Linked DNA regions of Coturnix japonica. The protein of the gene in region 1 purifies or fractionates together with the protein of each later gene. This does not show direct contact. Links are inferred from orthologs where the notes say so. Each region holds a gene or a part of one and is shown on either strand. Other genes may lie near its edges.

The links.
Region 2: the proteins of USP49 (region 1) and CETN3 purify together in Homo sapiens (affinity purification with mass spectrometry; 4 studies listed by BioGRID and IntAct, with this or other methods). This does not show direct contact. The link is inferred for Coturnix japonica from reciprocal best matches to the Homo sapiens genes USP49 and CETN3.

Annotation. Positions count from the first base shown.
Region 1 is NC_029541.1:4,731,047-4,735,353, reverse strand, and holds the start of USP49 (ubiquitin carboxyl-terminal hydrolase 49), read left to right. Parts: upstream 1-1,206; 5' UTR 1,207-1,211; intron 1,212-1,551; exon of another isoform or gene 1,552-2,690; intron 2,691-2,698; exon of another isoform or gene 2,699-4,307. Other genes in the region: MED20 (mediator of RNA polymerase II transcription subunit 20), read left to right, coding at 33-230, 1,036-1,206. UniProt on the Homo sapiens protein: Deubiquitinase that plays a role in several cellular processes including transcriptional regulation, cell cycle progression or innate immunity.
Region 2 is NC_029547.1:53,317,864-53,322,260, forward strand, and holds the start of CETN3 (centrin-3), read left to right. Parts: upstream 1-1,555; 5' UTR 1,556-1,666; coding exon 1,667-1,683; intron 1,684-3,358; coding exon 3,359-3,494; intron 3,495-4,397. UniProt on the Homo sapiens protein: Plays a fundamental role in microtubule-organizing center structure and function. As a component of the TREX-2 complex, involved in the export of mRNAs to the cytoplasm through the nuclear pores.

The DNA.
Region 1 (4,307 bases):
ATATCTCATTTAGGGCTGTTTTTTGTTGCCAGGTGGAGTATTGCCCCTGTGTGATCGCCAACGACTGCTGGAACCTGCTGATGGAGTTCATGCAGAGCTTCATGGGCAGCCACACTCCCGGCATCCCGACTGTGTTTGGCACCAAACACGACAGCGTCTACAGCCCCGCGGACACGATGGTTCAGTACATGGAGCTGTTCAACAAGATCCGCAAGCAGCAGCAGGTGCCGGTAGCAGGGATCAGGTGAAGGGACTCGTGGAGCTCAATGTGCAGCAGCTGCAGGTCGGGGTCCGTCCAAAGAGCAGCTCTGCAGCCAGAACAAGGCACTGAATAACTGTGATGTCAGCAGCTCTGGGAGGAGCCGGTTGCTGAGCCGTCATCAATGGCAGCATCACCATGAGGGAACTGCACGAGGAATCGTGTGCCGAGTTCCTGCAGCTCCCGGTGGGGTCCATGTGCATTGACTGCACTGTGCCTGTTGGTTTCCAGGTGCTGGTTTCGGGCTGTGGCTGTAAAAACAAACCCTGGATTTGGTTGGGTCGCGATTTCAGTTGTTTCACTTTTTAATAAGGTTAAAAACAAAGAGTTTCCTTTCAATGACCATTTTAGTGACGCTGAACATTGTGACGCTTTACTCATTCCCTAAGGTTGGTCTTAAAGATGTAAAACATGCTGGGATCCCTGCAGACCTCACTGCCCCCCCCCCCCCCCCCCCCCCCCCCCATGGCCCCGTTATCGCCGCGCTGCCCCTTTAAGATCCCTTTGTCTGCTCCATCCCTATTGACCCTCAACTTCAGCCGGGATTCACAAAGCCCGCTACGTCACCGCCCGGGGCCGGGCCCAGCCGCTCCCCGCCCCTTAACGCTGCCTCCCGCTACGCAACCGTGAGCCGTTCAGGAGCGCCCCCTAGCGGCTGCGCAAAGCTCGTAAGCTCCGCCAGACCTCCGATTACTACGGCGCTAGCTACGCAAACAGCGTCCACTCGAGCGCCTTTAGCGCCGTTAGCTCCAGAGACGGTTACGGAATTGGCGTAGGCGGTGGAAGTGAATGGGGAACGGGGAGGGGGGCGGGGCGAGCGCGTTGTGTGGCGCGCCCTCCGACCAATGGCGGTGAGGGGCGGGGCGCGGCGGGCGGCCAATGGGCGGGGAGGGGGCGTGTCCCGCGGCGCGGCGGGGTCTCCCGGCGGTGACAGCTCGTGTCGGTGATGGCGGTAAATAAAGGGAGGGGGGGGGGGGGGGGGGAACCACGGGGCTGTGGGAGGGTCCGACCCACACACGGTGCCCGATGCGCTGCGGGGGGCGGGAACTGCGGGACGGGCCGGAACACGGCGGGGGGGGCAACGGGGGGGGGTTACCTGCTGTGGGGAACCGGGAATGAGGGCAGGAACCGGCCGGGGGGCGAGAGGCCTTTTGGTGTGACAGGGGGGGAACTAGAGCGGACAGGAACGGGAACAGAAGAACTTTGTGTGTGGGGGCCCGGGGAGAGAGTGGGGGGGGTGAGGGGTGTATGGGGGGATGTGGGGATATGGGAGATATGGGGGATATGGGGTGTAGGGGGGCGGCGTTGCCTCGTGTTGCCGGCCGTCTCGCTGGGCCCGCGGGGTCGGGGCCGCCAAGATCCCGGCTCAGTTCGGTCCCGCTGAGGCTCCGTTCCCCGCCTCGGAGCTGCTGCCCGTCGGGTCGGGTCGGTTCCGGGCCCTGGGCCGGGCTCGCTGCGCTGTTGCCGGTACCGCAGCGCTCGGACACTCGTTTCCCCGCGTGTCCCTTCGTGTGAGGGCGGTTCTGACAGCGCCGCGTTCGGGGCCTTTTGCTGTTGCACAAGTTGTGTTTGTTCCCAGTTGATGCTCTTTATCCAGCAGCAGCGCGTTGTAATCGGGGCTTTATTCAGCTGTTGCGCATCCACACGTCGTTGCTTTAGAGTTAAAGGTCGTTGCAGCGGTTGCGGAGCTGCCGACACGCCGGGCTGAGCCCCGCGATGTGCTCAGCAGCTCCCGGGAGAACAAAGTCCCGCTCAGCCGGGGCCGTTGGTGCCGCTCGGGGGTGGCAGCTCGGAGCGGCTCCTGCTGCAGCTCCTCGTCATCTCACGTTTGGGGTCCATAACTTGCTTGTTGTCCTTCCCTGGCCGTGTCTGGCCGCTGACTTTGCTTCCTTCCTTGCTAAAATGCACTTCGTTGCTGGCTGCTTCCTTTAAATGGTTGGTTGGTTCTCAGCACTTACAGAGGAGCTACAAGTACTTCGGTGGTGGCAGAAGCGCCGTGTTACAGAATCCATCTTGTAAGGTCTTATTTTAATCAGCTTCAGGGCTTCTTTCGGTAGTGCTGAGTCCTTCCCCCTCTGTCCTCCTCTCCCCTCTGCTTTGATATCAATTTATGTCTTAGGACCTCTGCTAGGAGTCACGAAGTTTAGCGTAGCTGTGTTCTCACCATCAGAGGAGCTTCACATTCAGATCAGCTGGAGATGGAACTGCTTGAGGATTCGGCTTCTGTCGCACAAGATGTGCAGACACAAATTCTTTCACGTGCACTTTTGGTTTGAGGAAGTAGTGAAGGTTTCTGGAGCTGCCCTGAGTCAGAGCAGAACTCAGGGCTTCTGTCTTCAAGCTGCTCGATAGAAAGGAACAGAGAGATGCTGAGATCAGTGGTTTGAGAAATCTCACCCGTAACGCCATTGAGATTAAATGGGAGAAAAAGGTGAGTCCCATAGTAACAGCTTTGAGCTTGTTGTGCTGTGAAGGACTTGCTGCCTGGGAGCTCAATGCTGAGAGTTCTGTGAGAACTTTGGTGCAGCGCCGCTGTGGTTTTCACCCTGAATGTTCCATCAGTGCTTTGGGTTGGGGCTCTGGGGGTGGTTGGGTTTTTTTTCCCCTCCCTATTGTGGGGATTGAAACCTCCAGAGCCGCTCTGGTCTCTTGTGTTAATTGCTCTGTGTGTGAACTCTGCACCTTCCCTGAGCGCTTCAGCACAAGCAGCAGAGCTGAGCTGGGCAGCACGAACCCCCCACGGCTCCCTTCAGTGGAACACCATCCTCGTTAGCACGAAGCCCTTAATGAACAATTGCTCTGGAGCACATGAGCTGCGCTAAGCAATTTCAATACATATGTATATTTAAGTGGGAAATCGGTATATTCCTAACATCCAACGCATAAACCAGAATGTGCTGCTTGTTTCTTCCTGCTTGTGTGCACCGCTGCCACTCTCCACTTCTGAGATCAAAGATGGCTCTGGTGATGCTGCTGAGCCGTGCACAGCTTTGCCACCACTGGCATTTATGGCCCCACAGCACAAACAGCCCCTGCACTGAGGGACAGGAGGCAGAAACCCAGGCTGAGTTCTGAGCGTCATCAAGGAGTGATTCCTCCGTGGTCTAAAGCAAGTTTGTGGTATGTCTGCAGCGAGTGGTTCCTATTGCAGCATACTGAGCACAATGCAAATTAAATGCTCTTTATTGCACTGTTTTCTGCTGCTTTTGAAGGATCTCCCTCTACCCCCCCCCCCATGCTGTTGCAAAGTGATTTAGTACCATAGGTAGAAACAAAGAAAACTTGGCTGCTTTGTGCTAAGTGTTGTTAATTAGCTGACAGTAATGAGCTGATGTTAACTGTTACACCTCCAGTGCACGACAAAGATGGGTTTGAAGCCAGCAGACTTGGGTGGAAGGGATGCTTCAAAAGGAAGCTCACAAGGCAAGTTCCTGCAGTCGGGCAGCTCCATTGCTATGCTGCCCTTTTTGGAAGCTCCCTGAGAAAGCAGCAGCACAACATGGGCTGTTACTGAGGCCCTTTCCTTGTCCCACTGCTTTGCTGTGTGGTTCAGCTGCGTTTTCAGGTGAAGAAGAACATTGGAATACGTGGATGTGAGGGCTCGAAGTTGTTATGAGCACATTTGAAATGTATCTGGTGTAACACGGTGGTGGTGACAAATGTGTGGTCACAATACAGAGATGTGTTTTCAAAAGGCTGCTTAACTAAGGGAAAAAAAGCACATCTGCAGGCAAATTGGAACTGCTAAATAACACACTCCATTTATTTCTTCTGGCACACCTCAGTGTGCAGTATATATCACAAACCCTTTTACACCCCCAACTAAGTGTACTGGGAAAGAAACTTTCTTTTTTTTCTTGCTGTGTGAACCCAGTGCTGGATCTGAAAGAACCAGTTTAATGGAGAAAAGCTTCAGTGCATTGATGTTCTTTTCAGTCAAACCATGGAAGATCAAGCCAAGAGTTATGGGCCGCAGCTGCGTTCCTCCATTGAGACCTTCTATAGGACATCAGCTGAGCTGATTAAGAAATGGTGACCACAGCTGTGT
Region 2 (4,397 bases), on another chromosome or scaffold:
TATATATACAAAGGTACAAAGTTAAGCAAGCATAATTGAGTCTTCTGCACTTGCACAGAGGTCATCTGGGGAGGTGTCCCCCTACTCACTTTGACTATGTTTGGGCACAGGTTTTCTGAGGTGTTCTGCTAATGAAGAAGCAAAACTGCTTCCAGCAGGCTTTTGGCAATACCTGGTATAGTGTTCACAGATAGGCCCTACACATAGACAGACAGAAGAATGGTTAGTGCTGCTGTCTCACATCTGCTGTGTGATCTCACTCAAGACCAGTAACCTTTCCTAGCTCCAGGGTCTGTCTGATGGGTCTATAGTTCCCTGGATCCTCCTTACAACCCTTCTTGTAGATCAGAGTCATAGGTGTATTTTTCTTGTCCGTGGAACACATAAATACTTGACAGCTGGCTTTAGGCAACCAGTAAGCTTCCTGGCAGCCAGAAAAATGAGAGATGAGCTACACATCTTGCTCCAATTTATAGGAGGAAGGAGAGGTACTTTGACATATGTATACCTGGCGTGAGATTAAGAAACAATGGTTCAAATGTTGGTCCAACCAGTTTATTATAAGTCCTAGAAATGGGATGGGAGAAAGCCAGGAAGCTCCACAGCAAGCGGGGGGTGGTTCTTCCAAAGAGGTCTTCCCCTCAGGGAATTCTCCATCAAAGGTGTCTTTGGGGGTTTGTCTCCAAAGTCCCCAGTTTAGTGAGGGCCTTTTATCCACTATTTCTGTGGTGTTTTTTTTTTTTTTGTTTGTTTGTTTTTTCTTTTTTTTTTTTCTTTTTTTCTTTTCTCTCAGTCAGTGTGACATTCCTGACCCAACAGATAAGACAGCAGGGGGTGGTATGTTTGTTGTCATGCACAAGCATTATCGCCTTTTGCAGTGGTCAGCTCTTTCATGCTGCACCCCTGAAAGAGACTGCTTGTCCCACTTCTGCTTATCTTTACAATCATAAGCAGAGGTACAGTGGCATGGTGACACCCACCATTCATCCCCCTAGAGATAATTAGCAGTTGTCAGTTAAGAGTCTTATCACCAGAAAGGCCTCACAGAGCAAGCTTTGAAACAAAGAGAAACAGTTCTGTCTTTCACATATGACTATTAGGCACCTACAGGTACCTAATCACATTCCGTGCTGCTAGATCAGATCATTATCCAATTCTTACACTTGAAATAAGTATCAGAATACTTCATACGTAGTCTTTGATGTGTTTTTTAATAAGACTTGCGCTGACTGATAAGTGCTGACTTTCAGAAGCTGTTCCCATACACTGACTGTGCACAACCATGTCACTGCTGACGTTTCTCAAGGGTGACACAGGACACATCCTACCAGAGCCAACCCTCAGCCTGCAAAGGGCGGCAGCTTCAGCGCTGCCCTGCGTGTGGAGAAACACGCCATATCCACGCTCACTCCCAAGATGGCGCCGCCGTCACCGCACTGACGGCCTCCACAGTAAGCCCCGCCCCTCCCACAGCGACACAACTTAAGCTGACCCACACGGAACGCTCCCTTCTACTTGAGTGGCAGCGCGATAACCTATGAACGCGTCGAGAAGGCGGGAGCAGATCTGGCTGATAACCAATCAGACGGTGAAATGAGGCGGGGGGGGCGTGGCTTGTCGTTTCCACGGGGAAGTCGGCGCGTTGGGACGCGGCAGTGGCGGTAGTATGAGCTTGTCCTTGAGGTACGTGTGCGACCGGCCAGCAGGTCGGGCTGCGGGGCGGCACAGTGGTGGGGAGGAGGTGTTCCTACGGGGCGGCCGGGCCTCGTCACCGCCGTGTTTGTGTCGGCGTTAATCTGCATTCAGAGCTGTAAGTAGATTCCTCTCGGCTGTCCGCGTCCCAGCTGCTGGTCCGGCACAGTCGTGTGGGGCCTTCCCGAAGCGGCGGCCGGGGCACGGTGAGGTAACAGAGCCGGCATGTGCTTCTCGTGTCTATCTCTGGAGTCTGCCCGGTGCCGGTCATTGGTTGGTGACAGATAAATCTCAGCTGCGTGGTTAATCTCCGATGTCAATTAGAATTAGATAATCTTCAGTGAGGGGGAAGAAAAAAGAGCTGGTTACGGGGTGTGGGGAGTAAGCACCTTTGGAAAGCAGTTCTCCGTTCACACATAAGTGACTACCATGCACTGTGCAGTAAGTGGTACTACATGTGTTTTGTCAGTGCTGCAGGTAAGTGAATATAAAGGGTTTCCTGAGATCATTTTGAATTGCACAGCAGCCTAGGTTTGGAAGATATTGTGAAAGTTATCTTGTCCAGCTCTGCTCAGAGGTGGAGGTTGAGGGCCTTTCCCAACACTACTAACAGCTGAGATCCTGTGATCTCCCAGTGGAGCTATTCTGCTGCATAACCACTTGCACTGTGGCAGTGGTAGACCTTCTAGGTCTGCTACCACCTTCTGCTTTTACTGCTTGTAGCTGACTCTTGTTGCTATGCATCTCTGATGGGGACTTGCCTGTCTGCCTTGTCTAATCCTCTAGACAGTGCCTTAGCCTTCCCACACAGGGTCCTTTTGCCAACACACCTGGATTGAAACAAACGCATCTCCTTCAGCTCCTCCTTAACCAGATGCTGCAGCCACCTAGGTACTGATCACAGTCCCCTTTATTTTAGCCATCTTCTCTGCATCTGTTGTACTGGGGCACCCCAATTCAATGCAGTACTTTGGGTGCAGGTGCACAACTGCAGAATGGTAGGATTTAGCACCAAAGGAGCTGTGCTCATTGCTGCAGGTTTGTTGTGCTGTTGATTGCAGACCTTTATGTCTGCATATCCCAAGAGTGTGCTTTCAGCCTTTTTAGGGGACTTGACTGTTTTGTATGTATGAGCAACAGAGCAAAAACGTATCTGGTTTATTATGTATATGATAATATTTTTAAAAATCCATAAATATTTGGCATCAATGAAACTCTACTGGCAAAAAATCCAAAGATTTATGGCACTTAACACTCACTTCAGCAGCTGGACTAAATGCCTAACTAAAGCTCTAGCTGTCTCCTAAAACTTTCTAGTTTCACTACAGTTTAGAAATAAGGTGTCTTCTAGAGTTGTACCATGTCAGCTGCAGTCTATCTTGTAACTGCAACCTCAAGTATTCTTTTTAACTGGTAGATTTTTCTAATTTTGATTGATTGATTGTTTATTAACTAGATCACCTCTGCTGGGCAGAGGAGTAGAGAAGCCATTCAACCTGTGCAAAGGAATTGCCTGTTTCAGGTATTACTTCAAACTGGGAGATCAAGTTGGGAAGAAGCTGAATGGGGATGGCAATGAACTTGTGCTATTATTATTATTATTGGTGGGAAAATGGTGTCTTTCCAGTATTAATCAGTTGTATTGAATTTCCCTCTTGTCATGTAGGAGTGAGCTTTCAGCAGACAAAACTAAAAAGAAGAAGAGAAGAGAACTGACTGAGGAACAGAAACAAGAAATTAAAGATGCCTTCGAGTTGTTTGATACAGACAAAGATAGAGCAATAAATTACCATGAGTTGAAGGTATTTTTATTTATTCAGAATTTAAATATCTTTGGGGCAGGTATTATACATCTGAATGAATTTTTAAGTTATCAACTCTATCTTGAAAAATGCTAAATGGTCAAGATGTCCTGCAAGGCTGAAGTGGGGATATTTGAATAATTGCTGATGTGTATTGATGTAAGACTCATCTACGTCTTACACTTGCCACAGTAGTAGAGTTGCTATAGCATACTGTGTAGCAGATCTTACTGCTCCCTAGAGTTTAGCTTGGGCAGATGAGTAAGCTGGAGAAGCTCTGCTTGGTTTTTCTGAAGACACTGTATAATCTAAAACTTGATGCTGTTAAAATCCAAGTGTCTCAAATGCTTAGATAAAAGATATGTCAAGTTTATAAAACATGACTAGAAGCTGGAGTTTACCCACTTGCATTTTTTTCAGCAGGGAGCGTGTATACCAATGATGTTGTCTGCTATATTTATGTGTTGCTCTGTAGTTTCCTTTCCCAATGCTGGCCTCTCCTGTTAACATCTATCAGCAAATGGAGATTAGGATGGCAGCATTTTCTAGTGGGTGCTCCTGTTTGGCAGTCTGTGGAATTGATTCATTTGTTTATGAAAGTCTCTTTAAATCTCTCATAAATTTCTATGTAAATTATACTTCATCAAGAACATACTGTCTTATAGAGAGGCCAGCATTCCTCTAATGTATTGAGTAAGATAATTTTGGAAAGGAATATTTATGTTCCATAATCTTATTTTATCCTGTAGCTGAAGAAGAAAAAGGGCTTTTGTTTTACTTTAATTAATTTTACAATAATGTTGTGAGTATAGTGATTCCCTCTTCTTTTTTTTTTTTTAGATTTTGTGTGTTTTGCCTCTGTTGGAAGCTGTAATGAGAGGGATACTACTGCAGACTAGACTA